Ovis aries: one gene and its partners. The protein of the gene in region 1 interacts with the protein of each later gene in a biochemical or structural test. Links are inferred from orthologs where the notes say so. Each region holds a gene or a part of one and is shown in the gene's direction. Other genes may lie near its edges.

The links. The genes of interacting proteins can lie anywhere in the genome.
Region 2: the proteins of MAGI1 (region 1) and ADRB1 interact in a test that uses a peptide from one of them, tested with the Homo sapiens proteins (2 studies listed by IntAct). The link is inferred for Ovis aries from reciprocal best matches to the Homo sapiens genes MAGI1 and ADRB1.
Region 3: the proteins of MAGI1 (region 1) and FCHSD2 form a complex in vitro, tested with the Homo sapiens proteins (2 studies listed by BioGRID and IntAct, with this or other methods). The link is inferred for Ovis aries from reciprocal best matches to the Homo sapiens genes MAGI1 and FCHSD2.
Region 4: the proteins of MAGI1 (region 1) and NET1 form a complex in vitro, tested with the Homo sapiens proteins (3 studies listed by BioGRID and IntAct, with this or other methods). The link is inferred for Ovis aries from reciprocal best matches to the Homo sapiens genes MAGI1 and NET1.

Annotation. Positions count from the first base shown.
Region 1 is NC_056072.1:35,499,250-35,503,279, forward strand, and holds the start of MAGI1 (membrane-associated guanylate kinase, WW and PDZ domain-containing protein 1), read left to right. Parts: upstream 1-1,230; 5' UTR 1,231-1,834; coding exon 1,835-2,147; intron 2,148-4,030. UniProt on the Homo sapiens protein: Plays a role in coupling actin fibers to cell junctions in endothelial cells, via its interaction with AMOTL2 and CDH5. May regulate acid-induced ASIC3 currents by modulating its expression at the cell surface.
Region 2 is NC_056075.1:34,061,430-34,065,470, forward strand, and holds ADRB1 (beta-1 adrenergic receptor), read left to right. Parts: upstream 1-1,241; 5' UTR 1,242-1,356; coding exon 1,357-2,901; 3' UTR 2,902-3,990; downstream 3,991-4,041. UniProt on the Homo sapiens protein: Beta-adrenergic receptors mediate the catecholamine-induced activation of adenylate cyclase through the action of G proteins. This receptor binds epinephrine and norepinephrine with approximately equal affinity.
Region 3 is NC_056068.1:51,337,004-51,341,135, reverse strand, and holds the start of FCHSD2 (F-BAR and double SH3 domains protein 2), read left to right. Parts: upstream 1-1,332; 5' UTR 1,333-1,845; coding exon 1,846-1,866; exon of another isoform or gene 1,867-2,463; intron 2,464-3,575; coding exon 3,576-3,673; intron 3,674-4,132. UniProt on the Homo sapiens protein: Adapter protein that plays a role in endocytosis via clathrin-coated pits. Contributes to the internalization of cell surface receptors, such as integrin ITGB1 and transferrin receptor.
Region 4 is NC_056066.1:42,755,384-42,759,457, reverse strand, and holds the start of NET1 (neuroepithelial cell-transforming gene 1 protein), read left to right. Parts: upstream 1-1,274; 5' UTR 1,275-1,406; coding exon 1,407-1,534; intron 1,535-2,318; exon of another isoform or gene 2,319-2,402; coding exon of another isoform or gene 2,403-2,455; intron 2,456-4,074. UniProt on the Homo sapiens protein: Acts as a guanine nucleotide exchange factor (GEF) for RhoA GTPase. May be involved in activation of the SAPK/JNK pathway Stimulates genotoxic stress-induced RHOB activity in breast cancer cells leading to their cell death.

The DNA of each region.
Region 1 (4,030 bases):
TGACCTCTGCGGCACCCCGTCCTTTCGGAATCCTTTACACTCACCTCCCTTATTTAGCACTTGAAATCTCTCTTGTGACCCAAGATGGATAAATAAGTTATAAATCACTGAGGAAAAGAAAATGTTTAGGAGACTATCGCCCAGGCCGATTGGGGAGTATTTAGGGAGGGTAGCCTTGCCGGTGCAGGATATTCTTTCTGTCCGCAGCCCCCGAGCACGTTCCGAAACCTAGCAGGGACATTAGCTGGCTCTACCCCCGCCCTCGGGCGGTGCCCGAGGCAACAGCAACTCCAGGCTGTGAATTCCGAGAGGTGGCTGCCGCGCCCACGCCCCCGCGGGCGCCAGGACTTGGGTGCAGATCCCAGACCCAGGAGTGATCCTTATCTCCTGGCCCCGGGGCGGGTCCAAAGGCTGCCCAGCTTAGCCAGGAACTTGAGTCCAGGACAGACGCCTGGTTCCAGAGGTCTCTGGCCGCCAGTTTTAAAGAGCTAGACCCTTTTCGGTTGAAGACCCCAAGCCTCTCTTGCTTTTAGGCTTCTTTCCCTCGCCTTATACTTTATCTGCGTCCAGAAAAGTTGGCCCTAAAGTTTAAGGATGCAGATAAGTGTGTGTATACGTGTGTGGGCGTGTGACGGATCCCATTTGGGGGACCACCACGGCCCCCCCTCCCCAGGGTCGCAGAGGCTGGGGCACACCCTACTCAAAGACCAGAACCCGCCCTCACAGTGCAGGTTGGGGGGAAGCCGGGCAGGCGCACTCCTCTGGGTTGGGGTCAGGGTATTAGAGGGAACTGCGGCGGGGGGTGGGCTGGGTGACGGACAGCGTGGCCAGCCACTGGCCGAGGGCGGTAAGGAAGCTTAGGCCGGCGTGTGTGCGTGCGTGTGTGCGTGAGTGTGAGCGCGAGGGTGAGTGTGCGCCTCCCCAACCCCCACCTGTTTGAAATGGTTTTAAAATACCCAAGCAGATTGCCCATGTTTTTAAGTTGCAGTCAGTTGGAGTAAAACACTTCCTCCTCTCCCAGACCCCCGAAGGGGCTATGCAGAGTCGTGAGCACTGAAATAAAAGTAGGAATGAGAAGGGTGTGTGAAGGGGGAGAAAAGTGGCTGATCCTGGAGAAGTCGGACTTAGGACCCAACGGGAAGCACATTGGAATCTCTCACTTCGGGAAGGCGGGGTGGGGCGGGCCGGCCGGCAGGCGGTCGCGGGGCGCATGCGCGCGCGTCTCCTCTTGCCGGCCGCTGCGCTCGGCGGCGCGGAATAGAATGAACTGTAACAAAACAAGCCGAGCCTTTGTATCTGCTTAAAGGGGACGCAGGCACTTCCCTCCTGTCCCCCCCGCCCCCGCTCAGCTACCGCGTCTCCAGGGCTCCCAGCAACTGCCTAGAAGGGCTTCCCTCACCCTCAGAAACTGCCCGCCAGCGAGGAAAGGCGACCCAGGCGGGAGGCAAAGAGGAGACACCGCATTTCTAAGAGGCAAGAAAGAAAGGAAGGAAAAAAAAAAATAATCCAAGCTGCGCAGAGTGGACTCTGGTCCCAGAGAGCACGGTCGGGCGCCGGAACGTGGACCGAGAAGCACCGGAATGCAAACAAAGCTCGCGGGCGCCTGTGCAGGGCTCGCGGGGAAGCCCAGAAAGTTTGTTTTATGATGGCTTGAGTGAGCGAGTGTGTGCAAGGGAGCGAGGCTGCCAAGTTTCTCTCTCCCGCTGCGTTGTTTGTGGGGGGAGATGTCTCTCCCATGAACCAGCAGGGGCTTGGGGGCTTGTGCTGTGGGGGGCACCTGTCTCTCATTTTATCATTATTTTTTTTGGCGGGCGTAGTAGGGGTGTAACTCATCATGTCGAAAGTGATCCAGAAGAAGAACCACTGGACTAGCAGGGTTCACGAATGCACCGTAAAACGGGGACCCCAGGGAGAGCTGGGGGTGACGGTGCTGGGGGGCGCGGAGAACGGAGAGTTTCCGTATGTCGGAGCGGTGACGGCTACCGAAGCGGCGGGGCTTCCCGGCGGCGGCGAGGGCCCTCGGCTGAGCGAGGGCGAGTTGCTACTGGAGGTGCAGGGGATCCGGGTGTCCGGCTTGCCCCGCTATGACGTACTGGGAGTCATCGACAGCTGCAAGGAGGCCGTCACCTTCAAAGCCGTCAGACAAGGTAAGTCGGGCCGCGCCTCCTGGAGGCGCCCCCAGAAAAGAACCGGCCTGAGAAGTCTCCCCCCCGCCCCCCTTCCGATTTCCCGCTTTTCTTCTGCGAACGCGGCGTAGGGGCGATGTTGAGGCCGTGTGCCCAGTGATGGTGAAATACACCAAGTTGTTGAGAGGCTGTGGGTTGCTTGCCCACCTGCGTTGGGAAGAGGGGCTTGGGTTAGCTCGGGGAAGCGCAGAGATTTTTCCCTGGCCCGGTTTGCTAACCTGTTATCTCTGCAACCAAGCGCAGCAGTGGCTTGCCTGCACCGGGAGGAGAGTTGGGGAACTGAGGCAGGGGCAAAGTGGACGCTCTCCTGGCTCCCTGGGCGAGTGTTGCAGCGGGCGCAGCTACTGTGTTCTTTGATCTCTTATTTGTTTTCAGACCTAGAGAATGGGTATGAAGGAGGTGAGGGTCTTTGATTGTTGGACATCCTTAATCAAAAAATCAGCATCACCCCGTGACCGGCCAGGTGGGCTAGGGCATCACCACCTTTCAGTCCTAAAGCTTGCAGCTTGAAGATCTTGCATTCACCCCACAGCTGGATGACGCATGTGTCTCAACCCGTGTGGCCTGGCCCCAGACTTTTGGGTGGCGTGGGGGGAGAGAATAGAGAGGGTATTTCAGCGCCATTCAAGCCCGAGTTTATACTGCCACCAACATCACCACCATCCCCATCACTGCAACCATCGTCATCATCCCTGTGAAGATGATTATAGCTGCTGTTTCTTATTCACTTATTATGTGTCAGGTTCTATGTAAAATGCTTTCCTTGCACTCTTTTGTTCTGATGCACAACAATTCTGAGAGCGAGTGTTTCTTCTAAACCCCCTTATGTTACCGATAAGGAAGCTGGGACTGACATTGTTTCATTTACTGATATTGGTTCAGTTACTTGCCCAAGGTCACACAGATGCCAAGAGTGAGGGTTTGAAAATCCTTGCTGCAGAGCCTTAACCACCAAGGAGGAAGAGGATGAGTGTGGGAGACCTGAGGGGTGCACTTAAGAGAAGGGAGTGGAAGCAAATTCACCTCTGGGAAGCTTGGAGAGGAGTGATATGGCTGCTGGTTGCGGGGAGTCCCTTGCATCTTAGTTTGGTATAGGCTCAGGGCTGTCCCTGAGTAGAGAAGTAGAGAAGGAATGGATTCCCTTAAAGGGGTCCCTTGTATGACCAAGCACCGTGATGCAGGTTCTTCCCTGGTTGAGCCCTGGTGAAAAGTTCACACATGTGCCTGCGTGCTTGAAAGGGCAAGCAGCAGCTGGAGGACTGTGTCAGAGGAAAGGAGGGCTAGGCTGAGCTAGTCCTCTTTTGGAAACAGGCCTGTTCCAGATGAAGTGGAGGAGGGGGACAGGGAGAAGAGACGGGCCTTTTGGTAGCTTTGGGAGCTGAGGGACTGACAGTTATGGAAATCTCCTTCCATTTGTGTCCTCATTATCTGCTTGCACACCTCCTCCAAGAAGCCTTCAGGCACCCTGCCAGGATGAAGAAATCAGCGTTCCTCTGGACTCTCCTAAATGTGTGTCTTGTCAGTTTTCTGCTTATTCTGAACTATGCGTTAGATCCCTTCCCTTCTTTCCATACAAGGTGGTAAGCTCATTGAAAGGAGAGAATATGCCTCATTGACTGCACACCACCTCAGCTTTGCTTAAGGTCCAACACCTTGTCTCACCTGGAAATATGTCTCCCGTTATCTGTAAACTGGCTGTTTTGTATTACATAAACTTATAAAGGGTGCAGAATAGTGCCTGACACATAATAAGTGCTCAGTAAAGACCAGCTATTATTGTTATGTTTCAAGTGAAGTTGGGGCAGTTATTTATTTCTATGTCTAGCTTTTAAGTTTAGCTTTAA
Region 2 (4,041 bases), on another chromosome or scaffold:
TATATGTTTTCTTCTCTCATCCCTCCAAAATTAATCCTAGAGTTTTGAGAATCTGGGAACTTGGGCAAAGGAGAAGGCAACGCAGCAGACCAAGAAATTTGAAATCTCAGTTCACTACTGTGTCACCCAAAGCCAATGTACCTTTTTTGTTTGCACTGACCCAGCTCAAGTCATACAATCACGTGAGTAACAGAACACAAAATCCAGGTGTTATTACTGAACATGAAAAGTCTGAAAAGTAATTAAACGTGTTCTAGCTTCCGTGGCGGTGTCATTTACTCTAACATGCCTGTCCTTAAGCCTCTCTCTCTCTTTACATTACCGGCACACACCGTTGCACCATACTCACACATCCATCAGCTGGGACCTGGGAGTGTGTATTTTTCCAACTGGTCCTCAGCATTAGCTGTCAGCTGCACAAACCTTCCTTTGCTTTCTGCATCTGCTGCCCTGGAACGACAGAAGCTTCTTGCAAGAATAGCTCCCGGGGAGCGTTCCTGACAGATGCGCGCTCTGCTTTAGCAAGGCGCTCGCTGGAAAGTTTCTTCTAACCGCTCACACCCGCCTCCGATCCGATCCCCGAGCTGGCAGGACGCGAGCTGGCTGGGACTCCTCTTGACAGAGGAAGGGCTTTACACACACCCTCCTAGGCTGCCCAATACAAGAAACAGTCTTGCAGCCAGACTCCTCCACCCCCAGCGAACAGACCGTCCAAGGCGCTCCGGTGTTTCGAGAACACCGAAGTCCCCTTCCTGCTAAAGGGCGCGTGAGCTCTGCTCTGCAGGAAACCTGGGCACTGGAGGTAGATGGGATGGGTGGCGGCGGGTAGAGCCGGGGCGCAGCGGAAAGCAAACGCCGGAGGCAAACAGGGCGCAGGAGAGGGGAGATTGGGGGCCGCGGGAGGGGGCAGGGTGGAAGCCGGGCGCGACTGGGAACCGAGGGGAACTGGGCACTGGAGCCAAGCGGGCTCTGGAAGGGACGCGCGGGCAGGAACCCGCGAGCGCTGGGGAGGGGCTTGCTTGGCGATCTGCCCCGGACTCCCTAGAGCCGCAGAACCGCCGGTGGAGGCGGGGTGCTAGGAGTTGGCGGGGCCGGGTGGGGGTGGGGGGGAACCAGAGAGGGGCGTGCCTTCGCCAGGATTGGCTGCAGGAGCCTGACGCGAGGCCCCGGGGGTTGGCTCGGGGGAGTGGGAGCCGGGTGGGGTGGGTGCTGGGTGCCGGGGCTGCGGGCTCCGCGAGCTCAGAAACATGCTGAGGTCCCGGCAGCTGTTCCAGCAGCGACAGCGGCTCCAGCAGCAGCGGCGGCGGCGGCGGCGGCGACAGCGCACGGCTCCGGCGGGGAAGGCGCCCGGCGCCCATGCCTCCGGCCCCGCGCCGCGGCTGCGCTGACCTGGCCGCGACCTCCCTCCGCGCGCCCCGCCGTTCGGGCCTCTGGGGGGGTTCCCCAACCGCGGCCCAACTCCGCCACACCCCTCTCCCCCGGCCTCCGCAGCTCGGCATGGGCGCGGGGGCGCTCGCCCTGGGCGCCTCCGAGCCCTGCAACCTGTCATCGGCCGCGCCGGTCCCCGACGGCGCGGCCACGGCGGCGCGGCTGCTAGTTCCCGCGTCGCCGCCCGCCTCGCTGCTGACCTCGGCCAGCGAGGGACCCCCGCTGCTGTCGCAGCAGTGGACGGTCGGCATGGGCCTGCTGATGGCATTCATTGTGCTGCTCATCGTGGCGGGCAACGTGCTGGTGATCGTGGCCATCGCCAAGACTCCGCGGCTGCAGACGCTCACCAACCTCTTCATCATGTCGCTGGCCAGCGCAGACCTGGTCATGGGTCTGCTGGTAGTGCCGTTTGGAGCCACAATCGTGGTGTGGGGCCGCTGGGAGTATGGCTCCTTCTTCTGCGAGCTCTGGACCTCGGTGGACGTGCTGTGCGTGACGGCCAGCATCGAGACCCTGTGTGTCATCGCCCTGGACCGCTACCTCGCCATCACGTCGCCCTTCCGCTACCAGAGCCTGCTGACCCGCGCGCGGGCGCGGGCCCTCGTGTGCACCGTGTGGGCCATCTCGGCGCTGGTGTCCTTCCTGCCCATCTTCATGCAGTGGTGGCGGGACAAGGACGCCAAGGCGAGCCGGTGCTACAACGACCCCGAGTGCTGCGACTTCATCATCAACGAGGGCTACGCGATCACCTCTTCCGTCGTCTCCTTCTACGTGCCCCTGTGCATCATGGCCTTCGTGTACCTGCGGGTGTTCCGCGAGGCCCAGAAGCAGGTGAAGAAGATCGACAGCTGCGAGCGCCGCTTCCTCAGCGGCCCCGCGCGGCTGCCCTCGCCCGCGCCCTCGCCCGGGCCGCCGCTCCCTGCCGCCGCGGTGGCCAACGGGCGCGCCAACAAGCGGCGGCCCTCGCGCCTCGTGGCCCTGCGCGAGCAGAAGGCCCTCAAGACGCTGGGCATCATCATGGGCGTGTTCACGCTCTGCTGGCTGCCCTTCTTCCTGGCCAACGTGGTGAAGGCCTTCCACCGCGACCTGGTGCCCGACCGCCTCTTCGTCTTCTTCAACTGGCTGGGCTACGCCAACTCGGCCTTCAACCCCATCATCTACTGCCGCAGCCCCGACTTCCGCAAGGCCTTCCAGCGCCTGCTCTGCTGCGCGCGCCGGGCCGCCTGCGGGAGCCACGGGGCCGCCGGGGACCCGCCGCGCGCCGCGGGCTGCCTGGCGGTGGCCCGGCCGTCGCCGTCTCCCGGGGCCGCCTCGGACGACGACGACGACGACGACGAAGACGACGTCGGGGCCGCGCCGCCCGTGCGCCTGCTGCAGCCCTGGGCTGGCTACAACGGCGGGGCGGCGGCGAACAGCGACTCGAGCCCGGACGAGCCAAGCCGCCCGGGCTGCGCCTCGGAATCCAAGGTGTAGGGCCGGGCGCCCCTCCCCGCCTTCCCCGGCTTCCCCAGTCCGGGCGCGGGCTGTGCGCTCCAGGAGCAAGAGAACCCGGGCGCCCCTGAACCGCTTCCCCGGGAAAGAGGTCTGTGTTTACTCGAGACCGAAAGCAGGTGAACTCGAAGCCTGCGAACCTCGTCTGCATCATCCAAGGGCAAATAGGAAAGCCACGGACCGTCGCACAGAAAGGAAAGTTTGGGGAGAGGTGGGAGAAGTTTGGGGAGGGGTGGAAGAGTGGCTTACTGATTGTTCTTGGGGTTCTTTTTCCTGTTTCTGGTCCAGCCTTCTGTGTGTGCGTGTGATGCATCTTTAGAGTCCCTCCTCCCCCCGCCCCCCCGCCACGTGGCTTTTAACACTTTCTGCGATGACTGGGAAGGGAAGGGGGAAGCGTTAGGAGGTAAAAGTCTCTCGACTTAGTTTCCATCCCATTCCTGGGAACAGAAGCGGTCAGCCAGAGAGAGAGGAGAGAGAATGACACTTTATCAGGACGTTGTTTCCTTTTGCTTTTCAGAGAAATTCCATTTTAATTTCTGAGGAATTATTTCTCCTGTTCTGAAAGCCGAGGGCAAGGATGGATGCAAAAATCGCGTTTCAGGAAGTTTTATGCTCTTCTTGGAACAAGCCTCACCTTGCTTCCCTTTCGGAGGGCAAGCGGGCTGTCCCTGAACGCCTCCTCGGTGGTCAGGCTGAGGGGTTCCTACCTCACTCACACGGTGCACATTGCACGGCCAGATAGAGAGACTTGTTTATATTAAACAGCTTATTTATGTATCAATACTAGTTGGAAGGACCAGGCGCTGAGCCTTCGTGACATGTGACTCTGTCCATTGAAGACAGGACAGAAAAAGGAAAAAGAAAAAAGGAAAACAATTCAGATTACTGCACATGTGGTATAGACAAAAAATCAAAACAAAAAAGCCGTGATTCAAAGTGGCATTTTTTTTGCACAGTATTAGGAACTGTAAAGTCCACAGAAAATGTTATTTGCACAAAAAGAAATGAAATATTTTTTAATGGGAGTGGGGTGGGGCAGATCTTAAAAACTAAAATAAAATTCAGATTCTATCTCTGTTGTCTGTTATGTTATTGAGCTAGCAATTTATTGGAAAATACCTT
Region 3 (4,132 bases), on another chromosome or scaffold:
CCCGGAGTTCACTCAGACTCACGTCCATCGAGTCCGTGACGCCATCTAGCCATCTCATCCTCTGTCGTCCCCTTCTCCTCCTGCCCCCAATCCCTCCCAGCATCAGAGTCTTTTCCAATGAGTCAACTCTTCGCATGAGGTGGCCAAAGTACTGGAGTTTCAGCTTTAGCATCATTCCTTCCAAAGAAATCCCAGGGTTGATCTCCTTCAGAATGGACTGGTTGGATCTCCTTGCAGTCCAAGGGACTCTCAAGAGTCTTTTCCAACATCACAGTTCAAAAGCATCAATTCTTCGGCGCTCAGCCTTCTTCACAGTCCAACTCTCACATCCATACGTGACCACAGGAAAACCATAGCCTTGACTAGATGGACCTTAGTCGGCAAAGTAATGTCTCTGCTTTTGAATATACTATCTAGGTTGCTCATAACTTTTCTTCCAAGGAATAAGCGTCTTTTAATTTCACGGCTGCAGTCACCATCTGCAGTGATTTTGGAGCCCCCAAAACTAAAGTCTGACACTGTTTCTACTGTTTCCTCATCTATTTCCCATGAAGTGATGCTGTGTAACCTTCATAAAGTCTCCACTCCTCTGGCCTTCCATCTGTGACATGGGGGATGGGGCGGGTCCTGGCCTTAACGACCTCATGCTCTTTGACTTGGACGCCCTGTAGCAGACAACCGATTTTTCCTTTGCAGGGCAACTAGTCGCCCTCGCCCTCACCCAAACCAGGCATCTGCGGCCGCTGCGAAAGGACTTGTCCACGCTCGCTCCTAGGTGCCTTGGCCCGCCAGGCTCATCTGCACGAGAGGGTAGGGGTGTTGGAGGACCATGAAGCAAAAAAGGCACTCTGCTACTCCCTCAAACAAATAGGCATACTGCCTGACCCCCCTCCCGCCACATTGTAACTAACACACACTCACACACACGAGTGGGCGTCAGGAGAAGACGGCGGCTTACGCGCGTGCGTCGGCGCAGAGCCCTCTCCCGCCCACGTGCGCGCCCCCGCCGGAGGCGCGCACCGCGGCGGGCAGGCGGGAAAGCGCGCGGGAAGCCCCCGGCTGGCTCCCACTGTGGGGGAGGGAGGACCGGAGGCGTTTGGAACGTGCCATTCTCGGAGAGAACTGGGGGGGGATTTCCATGCTGCGATAGCGTTGTTACCCCTCTCATTCGCCGACCGATCCGTTAGCTCCCTCCGTTCCCCGCCGCGATACGGTGCCCCGAGCCGCGGCCGCCCCCCGTCCCAGAAGCCTGGCCCGGCCCCTCGAGCCCGGCTGTGGCCTAAGCTGTCCCCTCCGCCGCCGGAGTGGGGCGCTGCGCCGCGCGTTGGGGCCGGAAATTCCCGCGGCCTGAGTGGAGGAACCGAAGCACAGAGCGCGGCGCCGCCTACCACCTCCCGGGGCCGGGCAAAGAGGGTCGGGCTGCCTTAGTGGGGGTGGGAGGGCCGCGTGTGAGGAACCGCGGAGCCGGCGGCGGGTGGGGAGGCGCGGAGGGCAGGGGACGGGACGGCAGGGTTGCTGCTCCGGAGGCGCTGGGAGACCCTGCGCCCCCGCAGCCGGGCCCCCGCCCCCTCGCGGTCTCCGCCTCCTTGCCTCACACACCCCCCGGGCCGCCAGAGCCCAGGCCCTCCCGGGGCTCCTCCTCCTTCTCTTCACACTCACCCTCCGACCCGGGTTCTCCTGCCACCCGCCGGCCTTGCAGCTTCCCGGGCGAGTCTTCGTTCTCAGGCTCTCCTTACACACACACAAGCACACGCCCGCTCCCGGGGCGGCCCTCTCCTCTCGACCCTCCTTTTCCTCTCCTCACTTACGCCGCCGTGGGAGGAGGATTGATGTCCCTTCAGCATCATGCAGCCGCCGCCGAGGAAGGTGAGGATGCAGCTGGGGGTCTTTGAGGTTTTGGGCGGGGATGCGTACAAGGAACGCGGCTGGGGCACCGCGGCGCCCCCTCCCCCTTTGCGCAGGGGGCCGTGACCGTCGTCGTCTCGGGCTTGTCACTCACTTGCCGCCGGTTCCTGGAGGGGGGCGCGTGTGTTTGGTGCCTTCGCAGCGGAGGGGCGGCCGTGGCTCGTCCCCTTCACCGCACAGGAGACCACCCCCCAACCTAGACATTTCACAGGAGTTTCGAGTGTGCGTGCGTGTGTGTGTGTGTGAGCGAGCGCGCATGGCAGTGCTGCTCTCTGCAAAGTGCTTTCTCCGGGGCTTCACCGAGGGGAGGTGGGGGAGCCCCCGCAGCTTTGCAGAGCCTTGTGTTTGTGTGATTGTTTAGTCTGCACCAGGTTTGAGCCCCCCTCTCGCTTGTTGCCACCCTCGCGCATTTGCGGATTTACAGGACATTTGTTACCAGCCTCGCCTTAAGATTTGGCCCGCTTTCCCCACCCGGCGACCGAAAAGAAGTCGCAATAGCCACCCCACCCCAGGGGAAAACAAGAAATTAAGCATTGAACGGTTCTGCCTTTCTCTTCCCGGTTCCTGCCCCGCCCCTCCGACAAGGGGGAGAGGAAGGTGGTGATTCTCTTCCCAGGAGAGCGAGAACCGGGCGGTGCGTGGCGTGTTCGCCGCGATCTGGGCTTGGGGTGGGAGTGACGAGTGCTCCGGGCTTGTCAGCAGCTTCAGCCCTTCCAGAACTGTTTCAGTGTCCTTCCCCAGTTTTTTTCCCAGGGAGCGAGGCTGTGTCCTTGTCGTTTCAATCTTGCAGATGGTTACTGAGTGTCTACTCAGGGCGCTGGGTGGAGGAGCCTGTTCTGTCCTCCCCTTGTGGGCAAACATTTGGTGAATGCCTAACTCACTCGTGTCTGCTCCCTCTTCTTTTCTGTTTCTCACCTGGGTTCTCCAAGTGAGTCTTTTTCTTTTCACACATAGCCCTCCGGTAGCCCTGCTCCGGTGGCGGCGAGGGTTCCAGGCCCACTGTAACCTGAATCCTGGCCTGGCGGGCGAGGCACTGGCCAATTTGCATTTACTGTTCTGTTTGAAGTGGAAATGCCACGGGAACCGGCTTGCTGGGGTGGCTTAAAAGCTCTGCATAAGCTGGCAGGTCACTTTTGCTTTCTTCTTTGTGAACAAGAGATTTTGATTTGCTGTGCTGTCAGCAAGGGCGCCATCCAGAGAGTGTGCTTCTCCTAGCCATTATAGAATAATTTTTGTAGTTGATTGTGTAAATTTCAGTCATTAGATATTAGGCATTCGTTATGTCCCCTTCTCCCATCTATGCTCTGCTCACCTCTCCTTATGGTTAATACATTTGAATCCTGTTTGGAAGAACAGGAGCTTTTAAAGCTCTAAGAAGACCTAGATAGGTATTGTACATGAAATGAAACGACTGGCAGTTTATTTTGCACCTTTTTAATCTGTAATTTTTATACTCATGTACTTTCATTTAGCTTCTGCTTCAGGTTATTTTGGCTAGTTGTTAAAATTAAGTATCTGCAGTGAACAAAATTAGGTGGCTAATAACAGGATTGTGGTCCTCAGAGGAGAGGCAAGTAACAGTTATATATTCTAACAAGTATTACATATTTTCCTTAAATAATTTTTTTTAAAGTTGTGTTAAGCCCTTATAAATATATGGTATATTTCAGGTGAAAGTTACACAGGAACTGAAAAACATTCAAGTTGAACAGATGACAAAACTTCAAGCCAAACATCAAGCAGAATGTGATTTGCTTGAAGATATGAGGTAAGGTTATAGTAAATAGTTGGAGAACTTCTGTATCTCTGTTTCAAAGAACCTTTGAGTTACCAAGCCCCAGGAACTGATGATGGAATTTCCTTTTGGATTTCCTGCTTTAAGGCTGTTAGAGCTTTAACTCAGCTAGAAGTTGTAACTGGAACTAACACAATACAAACTTTTTTTCCTTCAGTGGAGAAACCTATAACGTTCACATACTTTTATGAAAAAAAAGTTCTTACAAATTTATCAAATTATATAAACAGTGAAATGGAAACTCTTATTTAATCCTTCTAGTAAATTGACCTTTTTGCATTTATTGACCTTAACGATTTCACATGGAATTTTAAACTGACACCTGGTTAATGATTAATATCTGGGGGTGAGCCAGTCAACTTCAGGTGATTATTAGAACATGACAAATATAAGTTTGAACATTAAATTTAGTGGGACATGTGTTTATCGGAT
Region 4 (4,074 bases), on another chromosome or scaffold:
TGGGCATACCAGAGCACCTGACCTGCCTCCTGAGAAATCTGTATGCAGGTCAAGAATCAATGGTTAGAAATGGACATGGAACAACAGACTGGTTCCAAATCGGGAAAGGAGTACGTCAAGGCTGCATACTGTCACCCTGCTTATTTAACTTATATGCAGCATAAATCATGTGAAATGCCAGGCTATATGAATCACAAGCTGGAATCAAGATTGCCAGGAGAAATATCAATAACCTCAGATATGCAGATGACACCACCCTTATGGCAGAAAGCGAAGAAGAGCTAAAGAGCCTCTTGATGAAAGTGAAAGAGGAGAGTGAAAAAGTTGGCTTAAAATTCAACATTCAGAAAATAAGATCATGGCATCCACTTTCATCACTTCATGGCAAATAGATGAGGAAACAGTGGAAACAGTGAGAGACTTTATTTTCCTGGGCTCCAAAATCATAGCAGATGGTGACTGCAGCCATGAAATTAAAAGACACTTGCTCCATGAAAGAAAAGCTATGACCAAACTAGACAGCATGTTAAAAAGCAGAGACATTACTTTGCAAACTAAGGTCCGTCTTGTCAAGGCTATGGTTTTTCCAGTAGTCATGTATGGATGTGACAGCTGGACTGTAAAGAAAGCTGAGCAATGAAGAATTGTGCTTCTAAACTTTGATTTCAGAGAAGACTCTTGAGAGTCCTTTGGACTGTAAGGAGATCCATCCAGTCCATCCTAAAGGAAATAGGTCCTGAATATTCATTGGAAGGGCTGATGCTGAAGCTGAAATTCCAACGCTTGGCCACTCGATGCAAAGAACTGACTCATCGGAAAAGACCTTGATGCTGGGAAAGATTGAAGGCAGGAGGAGAAGAGGACGACAGAGGATGAGATAGTTGGATGGCATCACCAACTCAATGGACATGAGTTTGAGTAAACTCTGGGAGATAGTGAAGGACAGGGAAGCCTGGCGTGCTGCAGTCCATGGGGTCACGAAGAGTAGGACAGGTCTGAGCGACTGAACTGAGCTGAAAATGCTTCCCAGTTTCCCTTGACTTGTGGTGAAAGTCCTAATGAACTGTACACTAGTAATCGGGCCTTGGCGATTTAGGAACTAGACCCCAGGCCTCTGGCTCATCAGCCGGGCGACCCTGTGGACCACGCTCCCCCTCACAGCTTCCGAACAGTTTAGCGCCTTAAGGAAGGAGAGGGGCGGGACTCCACGATCCTAGCAACCGCGCCGCGTCCCCTGATTGGCTGGTGTCCGCACGGCCGCCATTTTCAAACCCCGGAAGATGGCGGCGGCGGAGGTGGCGGCGCCGTCCTGACAGGAACCCGTCTTCGGGCCGCAGAGGCCGGGCGCCGTGCCGCTCCCAGCGGGCCTCCCGGGCACCCAGCCACCGCGCCGCCCCCTCCGCGCCATGGAGCCCGAGCTGGAGGCCCAGGAGCAGAGCCGGCCGCGGAGGCGAAGCCGCCGGGCCTCGGGGCTCAACGCCGGCGGCGCCGCGGAGCCAGCGGCCGACACCCCCGGGCCCGGCCCGGACGGCAGGTGAGCGCGGGGTGAACGGCGCCTGGGGACTCGGGTTGTGGGGCCCGAGGCTGGGGAGGGGGTGGCGGGCAGGGAAGGAGCCGGGGGTAGGGGAGAGCAGGGCTGCCTGCTCTCCTCTGCTTCCTCCTCTCTCCCCTCGTCCCCCTCTTCCGATCGCCTGACCCTCCTTTATTTTTACCTCCCGTTCCTCTCCTTCCTCCCTCTCGTCTCCCCTCCCCGCTCAGGGGGTGGAGGTCCTCTCTGCACACCCAGCAGGTTTCGGGCTGGATTTGGGGGTGGCGGGGGCGGTTCCTAAATGCCCACCGAGAGCTGCTGGCTAAGAGGACTGGAATCGTTCCTGGAGCCGGAGAGTTTCTTTTGTTCAGTCGCTCGGTCGTGTCCGACCCCTTACGACCCCATGGACCGCAGACCGCCAGGCTCCTCTTGTCCAAGGATTCCCCAGACAAGAATCCTGGGATTCTTGTGATCCATTCTCTTCTCCGGGGGATCCTCCCAGCCCAGGCATCAAGCCAGCATCTCCTGCATTGACAGGCGGATTCTTTTACCATTGTGCCACCAGGGAAGCCCCCGAGGACTTCTACCAGACACCAAACTTTTAGCCTAAAAGCAAGCATTAAAATGAAGAGTTTCGCCGAGGTCACAGTCCCTCCTTTCGAGCCTCTGACCAAGTCGGTGATCAGGGCGCAGCTCAGGACCCCAGCCTCCCGGGTAAAGAGGACGCAGAGGCCCATCTTGGACTTTTTAGCTATTGACACATTTCATTCTGTCCTGTGCGTCTGCGAAGGGAGGACACCGGCCGAGGGTGTCAGAGGCGGTGTCTGCGAGGCGAGCGGTGAACGAGGGCTGGGGGCATTGCTTTCCCGTCAGGATGCTGCAGGCCCTGGGTTCCTGTGACCAGCCGTTGGACCTTTCATCTCTAAGGTTGGGTCCTCATCTGTCATATAGGGTTGAAATAGTATCCACTTCCTCCAAGTTGTGCAATTCAGTGAGGTCATTGTGTGAGCCTGTATGCAAGGAGTTAGAAACAAACTGTTATTTGCTGATTTTTATCAGTAATTCCACATCTGCTTCTCTTTTCAGAAGTCCCTGTGGTCCACTACTTATTCTTAAACTACAGTTCCTTACTGAAGTTACATTCCAGTCATGCTTGGATGTGCCAGTCATTTTTTCAGAGAAAGGAAAACACCTTAATTTCATGGACAGAGCATTTGTAAACTCACAGTTAATAAGTCATCGTGCAGAGAATTAGACTTTTTCATTAGATATTGATTTTTTATTTTGAAGATTAGGATAATCCTTGCCTGAAACCTTTATACTGATTACAACTTATATTTAAGAGGTAGTGAAAAAGCAGAAAGACGTCATCATCCCAGAGACTGAGAAATAGGAGAATCAGGACCATGTAGTGAAGGGAAGAAGAACAGTGATAAATTCATTCTGTGTTCATTCAATAAAGCTTTTGAGCATTTGCCTGGAAAGATCCCCAGAGGAGGGCATGGCAACCCACTCCAGTATTCCTGCCTGGAGAATCACATGGACAGAGGAGCCTGGAGGGCTACAGTCTGTGGGGGTCACAGAGAGTCGGACACGACTGAGCAACTAACACTTGCACTTTCCTAGATCTTCACAGTGTTGCAGATATTAAGAGATTTTGGTGAACAGATGAAGTCTCTGCTCTCATAAAGCTTACATTCTGGTTAGGAATGAAAGACGATAATGAAATACCAGGTGGTCATCTTGTGAGGAGAATTAAGGTATGGTAAGGGCAGGCATCGGAGAAGGCAGTGGCACCCCACTCCAGTGCTCTTGCCTGGAAAATCCCATGGACGGAGGAGCCTGGTGGGCTGCAGTCCATGGGGTTGCTGGGAGTTGGACACGAGTGAGCGACTTCATTTTCACTTTTCACTTTCATGCATTGGAGAAGGAAATGGCAACCCACTCCAGTGTTCTTGCCTGGAGAATCCCAGGGACGGGAGAGTCTGTTGGGCTGCCGTCTGGGGTCACACAGAGTCGGACATGACTGAAGCAACTTAGCAGCAGCAGCAGCAGCAGGACAGGCAGAGATAAGGAGAGGGGCAGTTTTGCCTTTTTTTTTTTTTTTTCACTTTATTTTACTTTACAATACTGTATTGGTTCAGTTTTGCTATTTTTAAAAGATCAAACAGTTCTCCTCCATGGTAATGATGCCATTTAAGCAGAGATGTGAAGGAATTAAGGAACTCCACCATGTGAAGATGTGGGGAGAAAGGCAGTAAGTACAGGGCTTCAAAGTAGAATCCTGTTCGGTGTGTTCAAGGACTGTAGAGAAGCCACGGTAACTGGAGTGGAGCAAATTAAAGTGAGAAAGGTGGACAGCGAGGTCACAGAGATGCCTGGGTCAGATCGGGTAGTACATGGCCAACCACCAGAAAGATTTCAAATTTGAATCTATGGTTGGGAGACAATAGAAAATTCTGTGATGTGTAGTTTAAAAGGATTGGTCTGTTACGTGGCAGGGAGAAAATCAGGGAGACTAATGAAGAGGTTACTGCAGTTTGAGA